Linked DNA regions of Caenorhabditis elegans. The protein of the gene in region 1 interacts with the protein of each later gene in a pairwise test. Each region holds a gene or a part of one and is shown in the gene's direction. Other genes may lie near its edges.

Evidence for each region.
Region 2: the proteins of mon-2 (region 1) and sgk-1 interact in a two-hybrid assay, tested with the Caenorhabditis elegans proteins (one study listed by BioGRID).

What each region holds. Positions count from the first base shown.
Region 1 is NC_003282.8:12,089,088-12,101,318, forward strand, and holds the start of mon-2 (Monensin-resistant homolog 2), read left to right. Parts: upstream 1-7,691; 5' UTR 7,692-7,693; coding exon 7,694-7,999; intron 8,000-8,369; coding exon 8,370-8,501; intron 8,502-8,551; coding exon 8,552-8,908; intron 8,909-8,965; coding exon 8,966-9,199; intron 9,200-9,252; coding exon 9,253-9,493; intron 9,494-10,076; coding exon 10,077-10,185; intron 10,186-10,232; coding exon 10,233-11,241; intron 11,242-11,602; coding exon 11,603-11,886; intron 11,887-11,933; coding exon 11,934-12,102; intron 12,103-12,231. Other genes in the region: Polycomb group RING finger protein 3 homolog mig-32, read right to left, coding at 388-562, 877-1,352, 2,128-3,126; cpsf-4 (Cleavage and polyadenylation specificity factor subunit 4), read right to left, coding at 3,325-3,471, 3,518-4,156, 4,206-4,328; F11A10.5 (Protein ST7 homolog), read left to right, coding at 5,290-5,395, 5,445-5,559, 5,611-5,687, 5,805-5,975, 6,027-6,266, 6,319-6,416, 6,466-6,677, 6,742-7,333. UniProt on the Caenorhabditis elegans protein: May be required for traffic between late Golgi and early endosomes.
Region 2 is NC_003284.9:16,255,404-16,267,634, reverse strand, and holds the start of sgk-1 (Serine/threonine-protein kinase sgk-1), read left to right. Parts: upstream 1-5,583; coding exon 5,584-5,605; intron 5,606-7,506; coding exon 7,507-7,574; intron 7,575-8,322; coding exon 8,323-8,397; intron 8,398-8,444; coding exon 8,445-8,581; intron 8,582-8,638; coding exon 8,639-8,722; intron 8,723-9,355; coding exon 9,356-9,497; intron 9,498-9,551; coding exon 9,552-9,683; intron 9,684-9,768; coding exon 9,769-9,881; intron 9,882-9,958; coding exon 9,959-10,178; intron 10,179-10,597; coding exon 10,598-10,904; intron 10,905-12,231. Other genes in the region: Intermediate filament protein ifa-3, read left to right, coding at 1-43, 91-141; mua-6 (Intermediate filament protein ifa-2), read left to right, coding at 1,954-2,429, 2,651-2,837, 2,893-3,645, 3,824-3,985, 4,930-5,046, 5,104-5,154. UniProt on the Caenorhabditis elegans protein: Acts downstream of PI3 kinase age-1 and kinase pdk-1 in the daf-2/insulin receptor-like transduction pathway. Essential role in regulating development, stress response, and longevity.

The sequences.
Region 1 (12,231 bases):
GTCAAGTGCGCCCCACTGAGAACCTTTCTCTTTCACTCTCTCACTTACCAACACTATGTTATCGAAAAGCAGAACAAAATGTGGCTGGTGAAAACAGGAAATAAGCGGATATTTTGAAGGTGACGATAAAATCTCTCTCCAGAAGAAGAAACTTCACGTTTTTCAAATCGAAGAAATTTTAAACCAACAAAAAAATTTAATTAGACACGTGTTATTCATCTTGGGGTTTGGTTGTTTTTGAAAAAAAAATGCAGTTAATAAATATGAAAACATAGGAAATGAGACAAAATATAGAGATAGAGATACATGGTACAGTACTAAAACATGGTAAAACTGGGAATTTGTTCTTGAGAAGTTCAGAAGAAAGAAGAAATCGATAGAAGAAGATCATGTTCTCGTCATATGATATCGAATTATAAGTGGTTCAGATTTGGGTTGACCACGGCGCTTCATCATCCAAACAAAGCGAACCGAAAAGTCTTTTCCCATGAGTTGTCCGTCACAAAACATGTCTAAATCAGAATACCGGCTCTGATCGTCCCATATTTGAAGAGATAGGAATCTGAAAAAGAAGGAAAATTATAAAAAAATTAATTTCCTTAAAATTTTTAACCTGAAATAAATATTTTTTTTACATCTAGAAAAAATTTGTTTTTGAAATTTCGGAGAAATACCAAAACTTTGAGTTGTAATTGAAAAAAAGTAAAAGTGCGGCACGGAAAAATAGGCGTGGTTTCGGAGAATAATGCGCGGAAATTCAACTGAGGAGATCAGTCAAAATCGTCATATTGTTTCAAATTTAATTAATTTTTTCTTTTATGTTATCACGATAAAATTTTAAAAACCAAAATTTGAATACAACTTGAAAAACCTTACTTTTTCAAAGTATTCATAGTAGTCATCTCACTGCACCGAACATACGGTCGAGTGATAAGAGGTAGATTAGCAGTCCCGGGGAGTAGATTAACAGTCACTTGACAATCATCTCTATGATGTGAGAATCTAGGCCTTTCCAATGGATAACATCTATTTGTCCCAGTTATTCGTTCTCTTTCCAGTCGTTCTTTTCTCTCGCGATCTTCGGCTGCCGTATCAATTCCTAGAGCTTCTCGGCAGTCTCTTAGAAACGTTTTCCGTACGTCCAACTCGTTGTTCTCCATTTTTGGCACAAATTGATTGACAAGTTCATTGACTGCTCGATCATAAGTCACGTAATGAGTTGGATGAGATCCATGAATAAATGTTCCACATGTTGGACACGTGTTGTTATCCGATTCAAAATATGTTAGAAGACAACTCTTGCAGAATGTGTGCATACAATCAATTATTGTTGTTGCATCTACGATGTAGCCCTGAAAATATATAATTAAATTCTTGAAATATGGGTTTTTTGATTTTATGCATCTAGATTTAAAGTCTAGATCGTAACGAAAACTTCTAGAAATGAGAATGATTTTGTAGCGGAACCTCGTTATCTTTTTTCCTTTTCATGGGCTTCCAGGGAAGCAAATTATACAAATTTTGTCTCGCCAAGCACTCTGTATTTATAAGACTGTAGGAATAAAATTCACTTTTATTAGTTTTTTTATATAATTTTTTCCTATGGTGATTTCCATTTAGTTTAATGCCTTTGCTTGTGATTGAAGTATTTTTTTGTGAAAAACCAGAAAAATCAACAGAGATTTGTGCGATAATTGTTTAGTTTTCTACAAAAAATGGAATAGAGGAGATCAAACAACTCAAGGAAAGTTATAAAATTTTTTGAATAAATTTTTAACTTGTGTTGGTAATTTCCAAATTCAGATTATCCAAAAAAGTGATCAAATTTCCAAAATTTCTATTTTTTTCAAAAATTGCACTAAAAATTACCGAAAAACACTTCGAGAGGTTATTATTCTCTTTTATTCTGGTTCACAAACACGATGTAATTTTTTTTAATCAAGAAATCCTAATTCTTTTCAATTTTTTTTTATTTCAATCTTTTTTTTTTAAATACAGAAATTTCTGATAATTCAATTCAGAAAACTTCAAATTCAAAGTAAAAATTTAACCGATCTTTAAAGTTTAATTTATGATCTGGTTTTTTTTTTAAATATTTGGACTTATAAATTAAAACTAAAAACTCACATCACAAATTCCACACGTAATGAATGGATTCAAAACTTCCATATTATATTTCACTGTTGCTCTTCGAAAATTGTTCATCACTTTTGGTACACCATCTTCGGCCAAAAAATTCGCTTTTGGAAAATAAGCCATCATTTCGTCCCTCCTTCGTTGATTAATCGATGATATCGGACCAAAATTCCATTTACTGGCTTCTGCTTTGATTTTTCGTTGCCCATATTTCTGCCGCATCGATTCTTCCTTTTCTTGCTCTTTTCTCCGTTCTCTTCGCTCTTTTTTCTTCCGAAGTTTTGCCAGTTTTTGTTCAATAGTTAGTTTCGGACGATTTTTAGCTTCTTCTATCCTCCTCGCTTTACGTTCAGCTCGTTCACGAAGTTTAATTTCTTCTGCAGTTTCTTCTTCAACTGGCTTCTTTTTTCGTTTAGGAGGTAAATTTCTTCCATTCGTTTTTACTGGTGTAGATTCTTTTTCGATTTTCACTTTTGATACTGAATTTACAACAGCCTTGCGTCCTTTTTTCGAAGAAATATCTGATTTTGTTGTAGACGGAGACACCGAACGCGATGGTGATGGACTTGGTGATGTTGGTGGAGTTTCCGGCGGGCTTTCTTTTTTCTTTTTCTTCTTAGTTTGTAATTTCGCTGTCTTTTTGAACGTAGATGGATCAGGTGAATGTTCTCTGGATGTTATACCATTCTCTACTTCTCCATCTATTTTTTCCTCATTTTCATCGTCATCCATGATTTCTTGTTTAACTTGAAAAGATCCTCGTTTTGTCTTATTAGCTGCTTTTCCGCGATTCGTCGATGAATTTCCCCGCTTCAATTTCTTGGTTTGGGATGTCGATGGGCCATCGTAATCATCTTCAGAATCTGCATCAGATTCCGGTTCAGGTGAACGCTTCTTTTTTGAAGAAGGTGCACCTGTTGTTGATCTTCTCGTTACCCGTGATCGAGAAGATGAAACCGGTTCTGCAAGAGCTGGTCTTTTTCGAGTCATCTGAATAATGTTAGCTTAATATAACTCTATAAAATAAATTTGTAATGTTAATCAGTAAAATTGTGGTTTCAAACCAAGAATATTAAAAAAACAACAAATTAAATAATTGGAAGGTTAAATTTTTATTCCAACAGTCTCGAATTCTTGACAAACAACAAAAATAACAGATTCCACCCGTTCTCCTATATTCGACAATGTTCACATTGGCGGCCTTAGCATATTATTGATCCTTCCTTGTTCTTTTTCATCTTTTTCTCTTTGTTCGTGAGCCAGGTGAGCAGTATTTGACAAGAATGCGAGAGCTCCTTTGTGGCATCTGTTGGCGTAGTGACCTTTCTCTCCGCACTAAAATTGAATTATTTTACTTTTTTTATGATTAAAATGAACCTACCTTGTAACAAGTAACATCTGATAGATTCTTTTTATCTGGTATAAGTGAGAGATCAACACGATGGTGATGATCTTGATTTTGTCTTGTTTGTCCTGGAAGATGTGGACATGTAGTTGCCTTGTGGCCTCTTTCATGACAATTGTGGCAAGTAATAGCTTGACTGTATGTTGGTTTGGCATGACTGACAGCTATATTCTCGAATGATGGCAGACCGAATGAAGGATGAGCATATTGACAATCTGGTCCTTGTAGACAAAATCCGGCGAGATAGTTGGGGCAGACTGCACGACGACGATGGCGATGTTTGCAGTATGGTCCATGCCTGCAGAATCCACGATCGTACCATGGACAGTCTTTCATTTTCGTTTCGGGATCAATATGTCGGAATGGGCATTCTCGATTGCTGCACGCGCTGTATTTAGAGAAGAAGAAGCATTCGGGCATTTTTGTGAGGTCATATTCGTGCAAGAATTCACATTGATCTCCTTTCTTACAAAGACCACGAAGCCAATGCTTACATACGACAGCTTTTTCTCCATCGATGTGACGAAGAGGGCATGTTGGACCGAATGGACACATTTTTAATTTGTTTTTCCTACAAACCGCTTTTCCACTTCGATCCAGATCGCGAAAGGGAGCCTGAAAATTGAATATGTGTTGTAATTTTATACTGGAAGAATAATTGTACCTCTTTCATTCCTCTTTGATTGAACAAAGCTTCTTCCACATCAGTCATAGGAGCGGTAATATTCGAAACAAGATCTGTCATGGTTTGAGGAGCGAATAATCTTTGCATCGGATTTAGCTGCATATCCGGAACATGCTGCGCCACCACAATCATCTGAGAATAAAATAATAATTGATTGACTAAAAAAGTAATGATTAATCAACTTGTTTCTCCGGAGAAACAAAAAAAAACTCCAGAAATAAAAATCAGCCAAGCATCAAAGTTGTCCGAGAGGACTACACGACTACGGTAAGCAACGGTGATTGCACAGATTTCAAATAATTGCGTACAAAGTTTCAATTGTTTTCCAATTATCGACTTTTGTTCGATAAATTCTATTTTTATTTCAAACTCTTTTAATTTAAATTAAAAATTGAATTTGTTTTATCCGATGAAACTGTTTTATTCCTTTCTCGTTTTGCAAAATCCTGAGCTAACGGAATTGAAAATTGACACGATTCTTACGTGCATTTTGATATAGGTTGATTAAAAAACGTTTTTTCTAACTAAAAATGTTTATTCTAGATTTAAAACTTTCAAAAGTAAACTCAAATTAGAAACATATGTTTTAAATAATATATTAGCGACCAAGCGTAAAATAATCTGTAAATTCAAAAAGACTAAGGCTGCGAATATGAAAATTTGCGTTTTATGCGGAAATGTTAAATATTTTAGCTAACGTAAAAGAATACAAATTTGCTCAAGGCCGCGGCCGTAGGGTTTGAATTGAATCGATTTCTCGTCCGTCTTCCATGTCTCGCGGTCTCTCTCTCTGCGTTGTTTTGGCACGTCACCAACAACCACCAACCGGCTGTCGGATAATAAGTTGCATCTTGCCTTAAAAGTAATATTTTTGACTATTATTTCATGCGCGGTACAAGAAATTGAGAACTTTCAAACAAAATTAAAGCCTTTTAATTTTAGCTTCCTACACATCACGAAAATGAGCAAAATGATCCGATCAATTTCATCTCTTATCGATTTTTTTTTCTCTCAAAGCCTTTTTAGTTTTTATATTTCCTAATATTGGAGTGTTTTAGGGGTCATGGCCTGTTCATGGACCTTCCTGTGGCTCCTATGGATCGCACTTGTTGCAGTGCTTCTCTTCGCTTTGCGAGGACCACTCAAGATATCAGAGTCGCTTGAAAGTGGTTAGTCTATAGTTTAAATTAAGACTTTTCTTTTCTATGTCCCGTGCAGTTACAGCGACGTCGTACTTCAACAATCTAACACCAAAGTTCTACGTGGCATTGACAGGAACCTCCAGTTTGGTATCAGGGATAATTCTAATTTTCGAATGGTGGTACTTTAAGAAGTGAGTTGATTTTTCATATTTTCACGTTTTAAGCTTCAATTTTTGTTTCAGCAACGCCGGAATCGATGCAGGAGACGAAGAGGGATCTGATAACGACGAAAGCATCGAAAATACGAAAACCGTCCCAGGTATGGCTCAAAATGTCAATTAACACAAACTCATATCGGAATTTGAAATAATTAATACTTTCCTAATAAATAATTATAATAAAAAAATCTCTATTATTTCAAAACGAAAAATTTCAGAATGCAAAGTCTGGCGGAATCCGATGGCGCTGTTTCGAGCAGCCGAGTACAATCGATTTCGAAAGGAAACAAATTCAGAGCCATTAACATATTATGACATGAATTTATCCGCTCAGGACCATCAGTCATTGTTCATGTGTGATGAAGATCAAGGTAGAGCAGAATATGAAAGTATGGATTGTTTTTTAAATTTAAAAAAAAAGCAAAAGTTTTAAAATTCAGTAATGCAAGTAGCATGGCGAGAGCGAGAAAGCGAAGAGCGAATTCAAACCGCCCGAGCAGCGTTGGCAATCAATCCGGAATGTGCATCGGCACTTGTCCTCTTAGCAGAAGAAGAATCTGAAACCGTGTCTCAAGCTGAAAATCTTCTTCGTCGAGCTCTCCGTGCCATTGAGTCCACTTTGAATTCCTATTCCAACAATCAAATTGCCAGTTATGCGCAAAATGGAGATGCTGTTAGAAGTGAGCTTATCTTGAATTTCTATTTAAAAAATACCAAAAAACTGATATTCAGAGCGTGATTTGACGATTCAAACATACATTAAAAGAAGGTTGGCAATGTGTGCAAGAAAACAAGGACGACTTCGTGAAGCTATCAAAGGCTTTCGAGATGTAAGGAATTCTTTGAAATTTTAATACAAATTCAAAAAAAAAATTTCAGCTGTCGCGAGACCAATCTCTTTCAACGTTGTTATCTGTGCAAGACAATCTCATAGAAGCATGCTTAGAAGTTCAGGCATATGCAGATGTTCAGAATTTGCTTGTAAGATATGATGGATATGGTGCTCCCTGCTCCTATGAACTTCGTGAACCAAGATCAGCCGCGATGAGTTATACATCAGCCTTGTTGAAGGTTCGAGCTGTTGCAGAGAAGTAAGTTTTTGAAATAAGATTTTGAAAGACAAACAAAAATGCCCAATTAACATCTGATTTTCAGTTTCCGCTGCGCTGCAGACTCATCAATTCGTCGTGGACTTTCTTCTGCTGAACAAACTGCAATCGAAGCACTGACTCGTGCAATGGAGTTCAATCCACATGTTCCACCATATCTTCTCGAACTTCGATCAATGATAATGCCACCTGAACACTTTTTGAAACGTGGAGACTCTGAAGCACTGGCCTATGCATTTTTCCATATTCAACATTGGAAACGAATTGATGGTGCTCTTCAACTTCTTAGTATTGTGTGGAAGGATTTTGTTCCAAAAGTCAGCAAAGATAAAAATGCATTTTCTTCACAGTTGGAATCAGCTGACAAAGAGTTGCTACCATCTTGGCACGAACAGTCCGTTTTTCCGAAAACTGAGGGAACTCTCATGATGCTTCTACAAACCTTCATCTGCCTCGCTATCTGTATTCTCGCCGTTCTCGCTCAACAATTTCCAGCATCTTCTGGCGAGATTTTCCGTACTGCTGCAACGATCGGAATGCAATTCTACGAAAATTCTGTGTATACGGTTTCTCAATGGGCGCCAGGAAATATCATTCCGTATTTAGCATCGAAACAGGTGCCTGTTCCAGAGCTCTAATGTGATATTTTTTTCAATCTATCCAATCATTCCAATCTTGTACTCTTCCTTCCAAACTTCGTGTTCCATATCGAATAACACTAAAATTTCCTCTTTAAATTCATAATTAGTCACACACATTCAACTTGCCATAATCTTTTTATTTGAATCCCATGTCATCTCCAAAATGTTTTAATATACTGCTGCTGGTGGCTCTTTTTCACGTTGAAATGATCTCTGCTATCCTTTTTTTAATTGAATGGATAAATAATAAATATTTATTTTTAAGAGCATTGATTTTTTTATTAATTCCACAAGTTGTTCATTTCTTTTCATTACCTTTTTCACAATTATTTTTGAATTAAAAATCATTTTTCAGAAATGTCAATAAATGCGGTAGATTCGAAGAAACTGGTTGAAGCACTTCTAGGCGATCTTCGTCTTTTATCACAAGAAGCAAAAAAGAAGCAGAATCATGTAAAAGAAGCAGCCGAATCGGGTGTTGTTCGGATTCGAAATATCAGTACAGCGTCTGTCGGTGATACGGTTCTGATCACAAATCTCCGAGCTGCTTGCACCGAACTTTTACATCCATTAGTGCTCTCATGTGAAACTAGACACACGAGGCTTGTGCAAATCGCTTTGCAAGGAATTCAGAGACTTGTACAGCATAGGATTCTCAGTCAGGTAGGATTGGATCCGTGATGCGTGGCAATTGGTGACCGGCAGTTCTCCAGAATGAGCCCGTGTGGCTTGTGCTCCCTAGATTTTTCATTGAAATTTAGCTATTTCACCTAGAAAATTACTTGCTTTATTTGAAAATCACTTTTATTTCAGGTGGAAAAACTCGACATTTAATTCAGATTTTTTGCGGCAATTCTCAACTTTCAGACATTTTTTGAATTGTTCCGACTGAAATAAACGTAATTTTCAGATAAAGCAAATATCTTTCTATATGAAATCGCTAAATTCAAATAAAAAAATCATTCTGTAAAACTGTCAGACACCAATTGCCTATACATTTTTGAATTTTAATTTTTTAATGTTTTTTTTTCAGAACGGCGCCACAATTGTAACTAATGAATTATGGTCCCTAGTGGAAGCAGAATGCGAGGAATTGCGAGTTCTTCAAACAGTCCCTCCACTTGTTTCTTCTGAATTAATTGTCACTGGTAACACACTGGCTAAAGTATGAAAAAATATTTTAAACAATTAAATATTCTTATTTTTCATTTTCAGTGTATCGTTATGTGCTTCCGTCTTCATTTTGCCAAAGATCCAATTGTAATAAATGCCGCTTCTGCTGCAGTTCGTCAGCTTGTCTCTACGGTTTTCGAGAGAGTTATTCAAGAAGATGGGATTTTTTCCACGGAACTAACTGTTGTAAATCCATCTGGAGGGCGACCGAGTCCACGTGCAGCTCCACCAACTTTGAGACCTTGTGCTGCTGATGCATACATGTTGTTCAAGGATTTATGCCTTTTGATCAATGGAGAAGCTCCAATTTGGCTAGTTGGAATACAGGAAACAACGCGGACTCTAGGATTGGAATTGCTGGAATCACTTCTTAAAGGATTTCCTTCAGTATTTATTAGAGTAAGTTGAGCAAAAAACGTTATTATACGGAAAAAAACATTAATATTAAATTTTCAGCACACCGAATTCGGTGATTTGCTCAAAGACGATGTGTGTCCATTAATAATTCGGTTGTTCTCTCCAAACGTGAAAGCTATGCACATTTCTTCTCAACATCCATCATCTCGAACCAGCAATGCGTCATTCAACAATTACCCACCAACAATTTCTCATGAACGGCAATCTTTTCCAATTTCAATGCGTCTCGTTCGGATTGTCACTCTTATTGTACAGTTCTATCAGACAATTCTTGTAAGCTACCGTAGTATTACTGAAGTTCTAATCGAAGCTTTCTCAAATTTTAGCACACAGAATGCGAAATTTTCATATCAACACTACTGAAGTTTGTGGATGGAGATAGGAAAGGATGGCAGAGACCTTTAGCCCTAGAATCTTTGCATCGAATTGTTTCGAGTACGGATCTTGTCAAATGGATGACTGAATCTTTTGATTGTCGTCCTAATTCGACGCATGTTCTCGAACAAGTTGCAATTGGATTATCTACTGTTGTTCAGCAGTGTCTTGTCTGTACGACATTTTCCAGTGGTACGTTCGAAATATTTCTCAGATGCAAAAATACGGTAACAGGTCTAAGGATGAAAACCAAGGATGTTGCTATTCCGATTTTCTGAAAAAAAAAACAAACATTTTGGTTTTTCGGCTTCAAAAATCTAAATTTTCGTTTTTTATTTGATTTTCCGACATTCCGAAAAAAAATCGATTTTCTCGGAAAACCGCTCGAAATTCCAAAATATTTTGGCCATATTTTAAAGAAAATTATATACGTTTTCTTCTTGTTTTTTTCAACATAAACAAAGTTTGAAAACATTTTGAACTTTTCAGATAATTCCCGAAACATTTTTTTTTTAAAACTCCGATTTTAAAAATTATCTCTGAAAAACCGAAATATCGGAATTTTTTTGACGACGTTCTTGGTCTCGACACGACAAATTGTAATAATTGGTACAAATTCCACAGAAACCAGAATTTGAAACTACAGTACTCTTTGAAGGCGCACACATGCATGCAACCCAAAATGTTTGTTTTATTTTCCTGTTACCGTAGTTTGTGCGTAAAATTTCGTGTATGGTGTAATATTTATTTATTTACAATCACAGTTTTTTTTCAGACCAAGAAAATGAAATAGATAGAAGCCAAGAAGATGGAGGACCTGGATTCTTGAGCAAAGGATTATGGGTTCCATACGTGGAACATCTGACATCAAAGAAAACAATTTTGTTAGTCGAAAACAAATCATATTCTTCATTAAAAATCTCATTTTCAGACTGGACTCTCTTGATCGTATGGATGCAGTTGCCATTCCAGAAGGTTATGTACTTTCTCGATGCTGTGTAGCTCTTTGTGATATGACTCAAGCTGTTTATGCTGCAATCGATAAACTGTGTCTTGTCGATGAGAATAGTGAAGCTGGAAGTTCAGAAACCAAGCTGGAAATTGCAAAAGTCGCATATGCAAATTCTCAGCCAAGTATTCTAGCTGCAATCGGAAGTCTTCTAGCTGCCAGTACAGATGAAATTGTGAGCGATCAATTACTATGTTGTCTCTCGACTCTTATATCTGCTGGATGTCGAGTTGGAGCTGATGCTGATCTTCATAGAAGTGTCTATGTTCTGGCAATAATGAGCTTACCATCACCATCATACCTGAATCAATTCGCAGGAATCGCACCACCAAGTCCAGCCAATAAACGGGATGCTCCAGTTTCGGAGCAAGTATTTGATTTGGAAGCATGGCCATCGACGACCCAAGTTACAGCATCAGGGCCTCCATGTCCATGCCCTGTAGTTTCAACAGAATTATGGAATAAGCAAGTATTGCTCACTTCGAAAAATTTGCAAGCTGCTCGAACTTTTATCGCCTCAATCACTACACACATCAAGGAACTCAACAATCTGTGGTATCTGTGTATGGCAACTTGTGAGCATCTTTCTTGGCTTCTTGCAATGCGGCCGACACAAGTTGGACAATTTGAACGAGAAACAAGAGATGATCATTCGAATGTACCAACTGTGGTGACAAATGCAGCACTTTCTGACATAGCAATGCTATCATCATTAATGGATAAAGTAGCACCTGCAATCGCTGCACTACCAGACAAATCGTTTCTTTCTGTGATAGATGCCCTTATTCGTCTTTCTGATGAAAGTCTCGCTGTTGCAGCTACTGGAAGAGAAAGTTCTCTGTTTCCTCTTGCAGTTCTCTATAAAGTTTGCTCACTTTCATTGATGAGACTTCAAGTATTTTGGCAAAAAGCTGCTAATCATTTTATCAAGGTTTGTTGGAATCAGGGGTGCGGCCAGCAAAATGAACCAGTTCTTCTAATAGTTTTCATTGTAATTTAGTAATATTTAAAATGTAAAAAAATTGTGCTTTGTCTGAAAATTTTTTTAAAGTTGAAACAATTAAAATGTTGCTCAAAAATTGTATGAAAGTTTAAACATGCCGAAATTTTTCCGGCAATTGTCATGACAGTTTTTGAGTAAATTTTTAAATTTTTTCAGATATCATGTCTTTATCATTAAATTTTAAACATTAAAAAAATATATTGTGAAGCCACACTGGATCATTTTGTAGAACTGCTAGACTTGCCTGTTTGGAAATAAATTTTACTGAACTTCAATGATCTAATTTCAGGTGTGCAATCATACTTCTGTATCAATGCGTGATTGGGCAGCAGTTGCACTGACTTCACTAGCAAAACATGCTGTAAAATCGAAAACTTCAATGGATGCAAAAAGTCAACAGGAAATGATAATTTCATCGCTTCTAGCTCTCTGTTCAATTCCTCATATTCAAGTTCGTCGGAGACAACTCGATTGTGTAATGTCACTAATGCAAACTGATGGTGCTTTCTTACTTTCGACGTCATGGCCCAATGTTATACAAATTATCTCAGCCATCATTGATAGTGATACTGAGTGAGTTTTTCTTTTGAAGTTTTTAATTATACATTTTATATTTTAAGGTGTGAGCTGTCTCTGGTACGACAAGGATATCTTGGTCTTCGTCTCGTGTCATCTGATTTTCTACAATCAATTCCTTTTGATTGTATTTCGGGGCTTGTCGAAGCGATTTCACGATATTCCAAGCAGAACACGGACCAAAACATTTCCTTGTCTGCGTTAACATTGCTGGTGAGTTAAAATTATATTATTTTTTGTTCTTAAAAAATTATCATAATATATACCGTATCGTAATTTCCAATTTTTATAACGCGTGCTTAAAGACGCAAAGATTCGATTAAATGGTTCTCGCCACGAGCA
Region 2 (12,231 bases), on another chromosome or scaffold:
TGGTGCCAATGTTCAAACAATCCTCTACAACAACAGTGGAGAGGTAACTCAAGCCAAAATTTCAAAAGTATTTAGAATCTTTTTTTGCAGGAACGCGCAACACACATGCAACGCCAAAGCCAACAGACTACAACTTCATAAATCTAACCTTGCTCGGATAACAATACGAGAAATTTCCCCATCTTAGTTAATTTTTTCTTCTTATTTTCAAGCCGAAATTGTACGGAACCGTAATTTTTTATTTATTTCATGCAGTATTTTGCCATGACTCAATTCAAATTTTCATCCATTCTTTGTCTTTCAGTTTATATTTTTTGATCTAACATTGAGCGCCATTTCATTATGACCTAAACTACTTCTTACTAATTTTTTATTCACTGATTTTCGACATCTAAATTTATATGTTTTAATATATTCTAATAAACAACAGTTAGTTGATTCAGTTGTAAAGGTGGAATAGCGCCAGTGGGGAATGTGTCAAAAACCACTCCTATGGTCTCAAAATAACCAAATACCATGATAAAACATTTCAAAAAAATTGGAAAACTTTTTATTTACTGTCAAAAAGTGACAATTGCTCAGTTTCTGCCACTCATAATTTTGGAAGTCGACCAAAAAAAATTTTTTTTTCTACATATTTTATAATGCAATTTTATTTAAATTATTCGTATTAAAACATTGTAGGGGTCGAAACATGCGACATTGCTTTGGGTTTCCTTAAAAGACTCATATTTTCAAAATTTTGGCAATTCTCCTCGTGGTTTTGGCCTATTATAAGTGTATTTAGGCAAAATCTCCATTTGCGCTACTTCACCTTAAAGTTTATTACAGTTATAGCTTGTGCTTATTGCCTACCTAGGAACAGTAGAAAATTAAAATTTTCTTTGTTTCTTCTCAAATTTTTTTCACTTTACGGAGAAAGAAGTAGTTAAATCATTTAAGGGAGCTGATTTCAAATTCTATTTATATTCCTTTTTTAATTAACGAAAACTAGAGCACAAATATTAAATAAGACTATTGGCTTTTAATTGTTTTGATTATTCAAAAATAACAACAAAAAAAACCAAAATTCATGTTGCAGCTAGATCGGTGTAAAAAAACTGTAGTTCTTTGACTAATTACTTTTTGAAACTAGTTTCTTCATTTTGAAACTAAGAACAAACATTTAAGAAAGTTTCCTTTGAAGTTTGCCGAAGTTCAATCACTAAAAATCTTTTTTGCTGTCTCTTCACATTTATCTAATCATTTTAATTCGAGGCAAGTGGGTGAATTCTGACATATCTATCACTTAATCTATCAATTAGTCACCTCGAATCGAATATTTGAATAGAATATGTAACAGTTAAACTTCACAATCTCTCAAGACGAATAATCATTAATCAAAACCACACCCAATCGTGTTTTAACTGACTCCTGACTCATCTGGACGACACCCTTTTCTGGTAGTAGAACAATAATTCACTTACGGGAACATGTCCATCTTCGTCACTTTTGCAATCACCAATGGAGGCGGGGATTGCGAATGGATAAGTGGTCAGGAAAGAGAGAGAGAAAAAAAACGATAAATTGGAGAAAACCGCTCCCTTCCATCATCTTCACTGCGCCGCCCATCTCCAGCCCCTCCCGATCCGCCACCTTCTTCGTGTACAAGAAATGTTGATGGGTTGGGAAGGAAGAGGTGAGGCAGTTTTTATGTCGCCCTCCACCTCCCCTCCCAGTTTTCAATTTCTCGATTTACTTATGTAGGTGTGGTTAGTTATATTCTCAAGAGGGTGTGTCTCGGGTTTTGTCATTTTTCTCACATTGTCCCTGAATTGCTATATTTTTTTGTTTCTAAGTTTTCATAAAACAATTCAAATTAGACAATCTGATTGTTTCAACTTCTCTCTATTTTCTTGCTCCCCAATATATTATAACATAGATTTTTCTAACAATTTAAAATTTTCAGACATAATGACCGATCCAGATTCCTACCGCAGCTCCATCACCTCTCGCCCATCATTCAACCGCACTGTTACCAGCAGTAGTCAAAACTATGGAGCACCAGGATCAGGGAATCGTGTGCTGAAGATTGTCACCGAAACTCACTCTTCCTCAGTTTCAAGTGGACTCTCCCCATACGGACAGAATGCTGCGTCCACCATCCGAGACAACCGTGAGCGTGAAAAGAAAGAAATCATGGAGCTCAATGATCGTTTGGCTAGCTACATTGAGAAGGTCAGATTCCTTGATGCTCAGAACAGAAAGTTGGATGCCGATCTGAAGATGCTCCAAGGAAGATTTGGAAAAAGTACCGGATCTGTGAAAGTTATGTATGAGATGGAGATCACCACTGCCACCAATGTTGTCAAGCAGACAGGAAAGGATCACGGAGAGACTGAAAAGGAGATTCGTAAGCTTCAGGATCAACTCGACGAGTTGCGAAAGAAGTGAGTTTAATTGAGATGAGAAACCATAGTAAATATGAAAACCGTAATGATTCGTTTATATTGATAATCTGCTAAATCTGGATCCTATTCTGGAGAGTTTGAGCAATTCTAGCCATTGCTCCAGTATCACTCCGTTAAGAAGTTGAAACTTTGTATATCCTATACCATTAATACCGGTCCCGTTTATATCTAACAAAATTCACATTGAATATTATTTTCAGGTTTGAAGAGGCCCAAAGAGGGCGTGCTGAAGATCGTTTGAAGATTGATGATCTTTTGGTTACCCTTTCCAACCTCGAAGCCGAGATCAACCTTCTCAAGAGACGCATCGCCCTCCTTGAGGAAGAAGTTGCTCGCCTGAAAAAGGAAAACTTCCGGCTCACATCTGAACTCCAACGTGTTCGCATTGTGAGTGACTAAATCATGAAGTATTCGGAAAAAAAGATACAATTTTTAATTTCAGGAGCTCGACCAGGAAACCCTTCTTCGTATCGACAACCAAAACAAGGTGAAGACTATTCTGGAGGAGATTGACTTCATGAAGAGAGGATTTGAGACTGAGCTCAAGGAGCTTCAGGCTCAAGCTGCTCGTGACACCACTAGTGAAAACCGCGAGTACTTCAAGAATGAACTCGCTAATGCTATGCGTGACATTCGTGCCGAGTATGACCAGATCATGAATGGAAACCGTAATGACATGGAATCCTGGTACCAGTTGAGAGTTCAAGAGATCAATACTCAATCCAACCGCCAAAACGCGGAGAACAACTATCAGAAAGAGGAGGTGAAGAGACTCCGCAATCAAACTTCCGAGCTCCGCCAAAAGCTTTCTGATTTGGAATCAAGGAATCTTCTTCTTGAGAAACAAATCGAAGATCTCAACTACCAGCTCGAGGATGACCAAAGATCCTACGAAGCTGCCCTCAATGACAAGGATGCACAAATCCGCAAGCTCCGTGAAGAATGCCAAGCTCTCATGGTCGAGCTCCAGATGCTCCTTGACACTAAACAAACCCTTGATGGGGAGCTCAAGGTTTACAGACAAATGTTGGAAGGTAATTCTGAAGGAAATGGGCTTCGGCAACTTGTCGAGAAGGTCGTCCGCACATCTGCAATCAATGAAGAGGCTGACACCGAAACGATGCGCGTAGTCAAAGGAGAACACTCCAGCAGAACATCTTATCAACGTTCAGCTAAAGGAAATGTGGCGATCAAGGTGAGGGATTTATTTTCAAGTTTTTTGAAAATTGCTTTTTCGCTAAAATAAAGCTTTGACGTTCAAAAATTTAAAACTTCCAATGGCCATTGACTGTAGTCACTAATAATATCATTCCGACATAAAAATAATCAATTTATCACTTAGTACATACTCAATAATGATAATTTCTTTTCAGGAAACCTCCCCAGAAGGCAAATTTGTCATTTTGGAAAACACACACAGAGCCAAAGAAGAGCCACTCGGAGACTGGAAGCTTAAGAGAAAGATCGACGGAAAACGCGAGATCGTCTTCACCTTCCCATCCGACTACATCCTCCACCCATTCCAATCTGTCAAGGTTTGCGAATTTCTACTTCTTTCAGAAACAAGCCTAGCTACCCAGGACCTGTCGCGTATAAAACATTTCAAATTGGTGTCTCAGAATGAAATGTGTTGTTGTCTCTGTGTGTGTGTGTCGAATTGATAATCTAATGCGCGATTGCGTTTGGGTGTGGCAAGGTCATCCGTCCGTAATGACTAAAGGGGGGGTAACTTTGCTTCGAAAAAGAAAGATTGGGGATGTATGTAGGAGAAAAAGAAGGAATAAAAAGTGATAAACAAATTGATGGAAACTGTGAAGACAAACGTTGTTCACAGAAATCAATAAAAGGGACAGATGAGATGTGAGATTATTTAGGTCAGCTTTGAAAAAAAATGTTTTCAAATAAGGTTTGAATAAGAAATGAATTTGAAAGAAGCAATTATTTATTTAAAAGGTGGAGTAGCGCCAGTGGGGATTTTGTCTAAATGCACTTATAATGATCCAAAACAACCGAATATCATAATAAAACACTCCAAAATTTTTTTTAGATTTTTCATAATTTCCGGTCAAAGTTTTGGCAAATTCCCAAAAAATTTTAAAATACTAGCTTTTGAGGAAATTCAAAGAAATGTCGCATGTTTCGACCCCTACAATGTTTTAATACAAACAAAATTAAAACATAAAAAATGTCGAAAAAAAATTTTTTTTTTGATCGACTTCCAAAATTATGAGTGGCAAAAACTGAGTAATTGCCACTTTTTGACAGTAAATAAAAAATTTAAAAATTTTTTTTGAAAAGTTTTATCAAGATGTTTGGTCATTTTTGGACCAAAGGAGTGGTTTTTAACAATTTCCCGACTGGCGCTACTCCACCTTCAATCAATTTCATACAAAACATTTTTCATAAAAAAAAAAGAAATTCAAGTGAGGTGTTTTAACATTAAAAAAACCACTGTAAAGACAAATTTCTACATTTCCAGATCTTCGCCCGCGGACAAGGAATCGCCAATCCTCCAGAAGTGCTCATTTTCGAAGGTGACGAAACATTCGGTGTTGGCGCCAACGTTCAAACAATCCTTTACAACAATAAGGGAGAGGTAATTCAACCCCCAAAAATTTACGTGCAGAATAAAATGTTATTTTTTTCTTTGCAGGAGCGCGCGACACACATCCAACGTCAAAGCCAACAAACGACATCTTCCTAAATCTAGCTTTTTGCTTGAGCTATTTACTGTTTTCTTCTCTTTGTACCAGAAATCTGAACCCCAACTCTTTGCTGCCTGCCTGTTTGCATTTTTTCCGTTTGCTATATACTTTTTCACTTTTTTGTTTCTTTTTCCTCCGGTAACTTACTCATTTTCAACAATAAATACTTTATACAGATCAAAAAATTGCCATATGGAATGTTCATTTTTCATTTGAAACATTGATAGGAAAAGTAAGGTGGGGAAATATTAAAGGTGATAACGTGATCAAGAGCAAATAAGAAAGTCAGACGAATGGCTCGGTGAGCCGTGATAAGAAGACAAGGTCCAACCCAGCGATTCTAATCAGTTAACACGAGACAAGATACATCGAAAACCCACATTCGACCTGGTGGCGGTTATTCTAAATACGAGAGCATTACTGTGACAATGGGCAGCATGTATTATAATGGTGAGTCAAAGATTAAACCTGGCTGGTTCTGTGAAATGTTTGTATTTGTTTTAAGAAATTCAAAATCTGAAATGTCTTAAAAGTCTCAATTTTTTTAAATGGCTGATAAAATTTTGAAAACCTAGCTCTTCCAGATAAAACCTAGATTTCTGCCAACATGTCACAGTTGCGGCGGTCTGAAAACATTAGTTGATGGGTGCAAAAAATACTTCTTACTCCTGAAAACAACTTAATCAACGAAAAAAGTCATAACAATAAATATATTCATTAAAAATACATAGAAAAACAGAACATTCAATAAAATTTAATAAAAATCAATTTTGGGTAACTATGACAAACATAGGTTGACAAGTTAAAAATGTAGTTTTTTGTATTTTTTATTTTTTTCAGAAATAAAAATAAATTAAATTCGATATTTTGGGGTCATTTTGACCCAATTAAAAAATTAATCCAAATTTCGCTACTACACCTGTGAGAAGTTATCATAAATTTTTTTTAAAATGTGCTTTAAATGTGGAGTAGCGCCAGTGGGGGAAATTGTCAAAAACCACGCCTATGGTCTCAAATTAATGGAATATCAAAATAAAACTATTCAAAAAATTTTTGAAATTTTTTTTTTACTCTCAAAAAGTGACAATTATTTAGTTTTTACTCAAAATTTTGGAAGTCGTCCGAAAAAAAAAAGTTTTTCTACATTGTTTATACTGTGACTGTGTTTTAATTATTCACATTTAAACATTGTAGGGGTCTAAACATGCGGCCATGCTTCGGATTTCCTCACAAGCTCATATTTTTCGAAATTTGGCCATTTGCCAAAACTTTGACCGGAAATTATGAAAAGTCTAAAATTTTTGCAGTTTTTTATTATGATATTCTGTCGTTTTGGATCATAATAAGAGCATTTAGACAAAATCCCCATTGGCGCTACTTCACCTTTAAAATGCAGATAGATCATTAACTCAAACATAAACTTACTAGTTTTGAATTTTCATTATGAATTTAGATGTTTTTTAACAAACCTATAAATGCTCACAGGAAAATACAATGCATTAGGTTTTCCAAGAAATTATAATATAATGAACTCTTTCTGAAACATACTTCAGTCTTCATGATTTCAAAATCAAATTTTCCAATTCTGACATAAAATAATCCACTGGTCAAACGTAATGATTTGATAACGCATTTCTGTTTGACAGCTTAATTTTCATTTGAACTTTCATTTTCTGAAATCAAAACTGAATACGTTTTTTCAATTTATTACGTTTTACTTGTGTAGTATTAGAACTACAAAAAAGGTTTGCAATGGATTAAAATAATTATTTTTTATCATTGTGCCTATTTTGAGAGTTTCAAATAATTATTTTTATGCTTGAAAAAATAAAAAAATAGACATTTTCATTCATCTAATTTTTGAAATTAATTTATAAATTATTAATGGTTTAAATTTTTTCTTTAACGTATCTATATCATCTTGAAATATACCTCTTAACAATCTATTTACTTTGCATGCTTCTTTTTATGATTTCTATGATTCTTTCAAAATGCAAATAATGACGTCACTTTCTGCATCAACCGGAAGAAATTATGATGATGATATTTTTTTTTCCTTCTCTAGAAGTTTTTTACCCTTTCATTACCTCTAATGGAGTTGAGAAACCAGAGCCATACTACCTTTTCCAATTTTCTTTTCAACATAAGTTTCATGTCAAAAAGTGCTTATGCAGTATTGATAAGTGTAGTGAAACTCTCTCAAAGGACTGATAAGGCCGAAGAAAAAGTCATGATCTGCTTCCCGGAAATAGCAATCGATTTTTATTGACGAGTTTTAGTTATGCTCATTAATTTATTTTTTTATTGATATCGATAAATGTTTTAATATAATTTAATTTTGAATATTTCAGAGTCGAGAATGGTGAGGAAAGATGAGGTGACATGCAATGTTATTATAGGAGATGATAAGAAAACTGTGGTAAGTTAGAGAGCATTAAGATTAATTTAAAGAGTTTTAAAAATAAATATTATCTCATTTTTTGTCCGTAAAGTATAATGTGATGCAGGGATAGGCGGAAAAAAATTTTGTCGACAAATTCGGCAAATCGTCAAATTGCCGGTTTTCCCGATTTGCCGGAGATTTTCAATTCCGACAATTTACCGGTTTGCCGAGTTGCCGGAAATTTTCTTTTTTGGCAAATTGTCGGTTTTCCGTCTGCCGGATATCAAGTTTGCCGGAAATGTCTAGAGGGATTTTTATAAGACGGAAACACATGAAAATTGGCCCTTTTTGAAACTTTTTCCCGTTTTCTTTAGCTATTTACATAGAAGTTGTTCAATTTTCAAAATATATGTTGGAACATGCGTACAATTTTTCCGATTAAAATTGAAATTCTGAAATTTTTTAAAAATGTGCAAAACCACAATTTGCCAAACATTTTTGGCAATTGTCGTTTTTCCGGCAAGTTCGGCAAATCGGCAATTTGCACGTTTTCAATTCCGGCAACTTGCAATTTATAGATTTACCGTGTTCACTTTTGAGATTTGTGTGTTCCACAAGAAATATTTTAAAGTTTACACGTTCAGTTTCAATTATAAAACATTTTTCCTGAAGACTACACGGCGAGTAACTATAATAGAAAATTACAAATTTGTCACACATGCCCAAATCAGAAATATTTTTTTAAATACACTTGACGAGTTTTCAAATAAAATTATATTTTCAGGTTTACGCGCTCCGTATCGGAAATGGCCCAATTATGCAAAAAACGTTTGAAGAATATGAAAGATTTTTTACAACTGTCAGTTTTTTCAAGTTTTTATTTTCCAACTTTTTATTGACTTTCAGGAAAAGGATATGATCCCGGCTACAATTTTCACTGCGCCGAAAAAGAAGTTCCTGCAAGCTGACAGCAAGTTCTACGAGAAAAGACGTGTTTGGATCCTTGTGATTAGTCAGCATCTTGTTGATAATAATTTAAGAAGGTAATGAGATTAATTTATGTTGGATAGTTTATAATTCTTTGATTACAATGATTACAGTGAGGATGTCCGTCGGTTCTTCCATCTCGAAAGTCCGGATGATGATGAGAATAATGTTGATCTCGGACCAAGTGAGAGGAAAACGTATGTTTTGGCCATAAGGATTTGCGGTAAATCGCCAAAGTTGCACATATTGAAGTAGAGCTCCCAGCTGAGTGATGCGCAAAATGCGGACCTCACCCCGACGCCACCGTGTGTTTGCAATGAAGTTCGAAATGTAGTTATTTGGAGCGTCCGACATGTTCGGGGTTCCGCAGCTTGGTCGTGAAATAAGTAGCTTGGTGTGTGCGCAACGTAGTGTGAAGAGATGGTTGTTTGGAAGCGGCCGACACGTTCGGGGTTCCGCGCAACATTATACATTCGCATACATCCGTCTTGCGCGACGACCTCATGGGAGACCTATATTAAATACTTTTGATTTTTTTCCCCGAACGTTTGCAATGAGCTTCTAATTTTGTTTCATCTGCTCTTAAAATAGCTACGTTACCAAGTTTTTGAAATTTTTCCAATCTTTGAAACAAGACATCCATTTTTGATTCGTTCCAAAATAGGAAGTGTTGCTTATTTTCCGAAAATTTTGGCTTTCCCATCTCATGTTGACCTATTTTTGTCGACTCAAAATTTTTCGACCAACAGTATAATTTTTATGGAAATTTTAGAAACCAGAGTTTCATATATACGTTGCAAGACTTTTTGCCTCTAGCAGTTTATTTTCAGAGCCACCGCCAATGATTTCGATTATCTGACAACTATCGGAAAAGGAAGCTTTGGAAGAGTTTACCAAGTCAGGCACAAGGAGACCAAAAAAATCTACGCCATGAAAATTCTGTCCAAGGAACATATCAGAAAAAAGAACGAGGTATTGATTAGTGTTACAAGTTTTTGGAACATAAGTAGCAAATACGTTTTTAAGGTGAAACACGTCATGGCAGAAAGAAATGTGCTCATTAACAACTTTAAGCACCCTTTCCTTGTTTCACTTCACTTTTCGTTCCAAAATAAGGAGAAGCTGTATTTTGTGCTCGATCACTTGAACGGAGGAGAGGTACCTATTCCATGTGTTTAGATTAATATAGGGAAGAATGGACTCGATAGAAAACTTATAAAACTTTCAAAATGTGGCATTTCAGCTTTTCTCTCACCTCCAACGCGAGAAACATTTTTCCGAGTCGAGAAGTCGTTTTTACGCGGCCGAGATTGCATGTGCTCTGGGTTATCTTCACGAGAAAAACATTATCTACAGGTAGCGATTTACTTGCTTTCAAAAAAAGAAACCTCTAAATTGGTTTGGCAATATGCAAATATAAATTTACATTCCAGAGATTTGAAGCCTGAAAACCTTCTGTTGGACGATAAAGGTTACTTGGTGCTCACCGACTTTGGGCTCTGTAAAGAAGATATGCAAGGAAGCAAGACAACTTCCACATTTTGTGGGACGCCGGAGTACTTGGCCCCGGAAATTATTCTGAAAAAGCCTTACGACAAGACTGTTGACTGGTGGTGTTTGGGATCGGTTCTCTATGAAATGATTTTTGGATTGGTAAGGATTGCCGAGTTGGCATAAACTTGAAATACACAATCTGAAATATTATAGCTGGTTTATTAAAAAATATGATGACTAGTTTTATAATTAGTAGTTACAACTGCAATTTTCTTCCGCTTTTCGTAGAGCTTAGCGCAATAGAACTCTGCCGACTTTTGTTCCAATGACCTTCTCTAAAAGTTTTACATAACCTATTTACCATATTTTTTCTATTAGTACAGCCCTGATGTGTAATTCAGACTAGAAACTTAAAATTGCTTCTTCTTTTGCTTCTTCTTTTTGTTCTGTGATTTTCCCAAAACCACAGAACACAAAATATTACATAGTTCAAGCTAAAATTGCTGATTTGATTTATTTCCCTGACATAACTTTCTTAATCTGCTCCCCCCCCCCCCAAAAAAGAGCAATCATTTCAGCCTCCATTCTACTCAAAAGATCATAACGAGATGTACGACAAGATCATCAACCAGCCACTTCGTCTCAAGCACAACATCTCTGTGCCATGCAGTGAGCTCATCACCGGGCTCTTGCAAAAAGACCGTTCAAAGCGTCTGGGCCATCGCAATGATTTCCGTGACATTCGTGATCATCCATTCTTCCTTCCGGTTGATTGGGATAAGCTTCTGAATCGTGAGCTTAAGGCTCCGTTCATTCCGAAAGTGAAAAACGCAATGGATACATCCAATATTTCAAAGGAGTTCGTGGAGATTCAAATTGATCCATGTAAGATATATGTACAATAATTGGCATAATTAAGGATGGTTGGGGATAGAACTGGCATATTTCCGGTCATCGCGTCCGGTTTTGGAATTTTGAGAATTTTCCGAAGGTAGTTTTTCACGGCGGCCGACAATTTCCGAGTTTAGCCACTCATTATCGAATTATGTATATGATTAAGTATAGTGAGTGGCCAAACTCGGAAATTGTCGGCCGCCGTGAAAACTACTTTTTCTGAAAATTTTTTAAAATTCCAAAACCGGACCCCAAATATGCCAGCCCTAGTTGGGGAGAAGGGTTGGTTCCAATAAGAATGTAAAAATTTGTAGTAACTAATCTTAGTTCAACGCTCTATTCAAAGTGACATCTAATATGTAGTAAGACCAAATCTTGTAATGAGAGGTCTTCAAAAATTTCATTTTTCTTCAAAAACTTCCTTTTTCTGTACGGTTTCTTTTCAAAATCAAAAAGAACAGTCTCAATATACCGAAAATGACTGCGAAAAAATTTGAAACATTTTTTTCATTTTTTTAAAAACTGTTTTCAAACTTTCCAAAACTTTTTAAAAAGCCTCATTTTTCAAGCCCACGTCTTTTGATTCCTTTTGTTTCTCGGCAAAGTTTATTAGTTTCTTTTTCGGTTTTTGATCTCATTAAAATGTCTAATTTTAATAGAAGCCCAAATAAAATATTAAGATGAAATGAGCTGAGGAAAAAAGTAAGAGATGCCGTATTTGCCTGTTTTCATTAATGTATGCACGAATAACCACAGTCCTTCATGATATAATATTGATAGTTATTCGATTTCTTTGTGAAAAAAAATTTTAACTACACTCAAAATTAAAAAAAAAACTGCGTGGCGTGTACAGCAGAAAACCTAGTATTTAGGTACCGCCTTTTTTTCGTTCACTCACGGGGAAAAGACAAAAATCGGGACCCAACCAATATCAGGCCGCCGACATCTCACGGGTTCCGCGCGCCGCAAAGTTTAACTTGCTATGGGCGTGGCGAGCTGTCTCCGCCCGCTGCGAGTTAAACCTAGCGGCGCGCGGAACCCGTGAGATGTCGGCGGCCTGATATTGGTTGGGGTACCGAGTTTTGCCTTTTCCCCGTGCGTGGACGAGAAAAAGGCGGGGCCTAAATACTAGGTTTTCTGCAGTACACGCCACACAGTTTTATTATTTTGAGTGTAACTTTTTGAACAATTTCAAAGTTACTGATAAATAAAATGAAGCCGAGCGCACACTAAAACATCCCAGCACCTAATTACAACCCGCCAACCGCCTCAATGGCAAAACAGCGTTCTGAGCATAAATATGAGAAGGTTATACCCA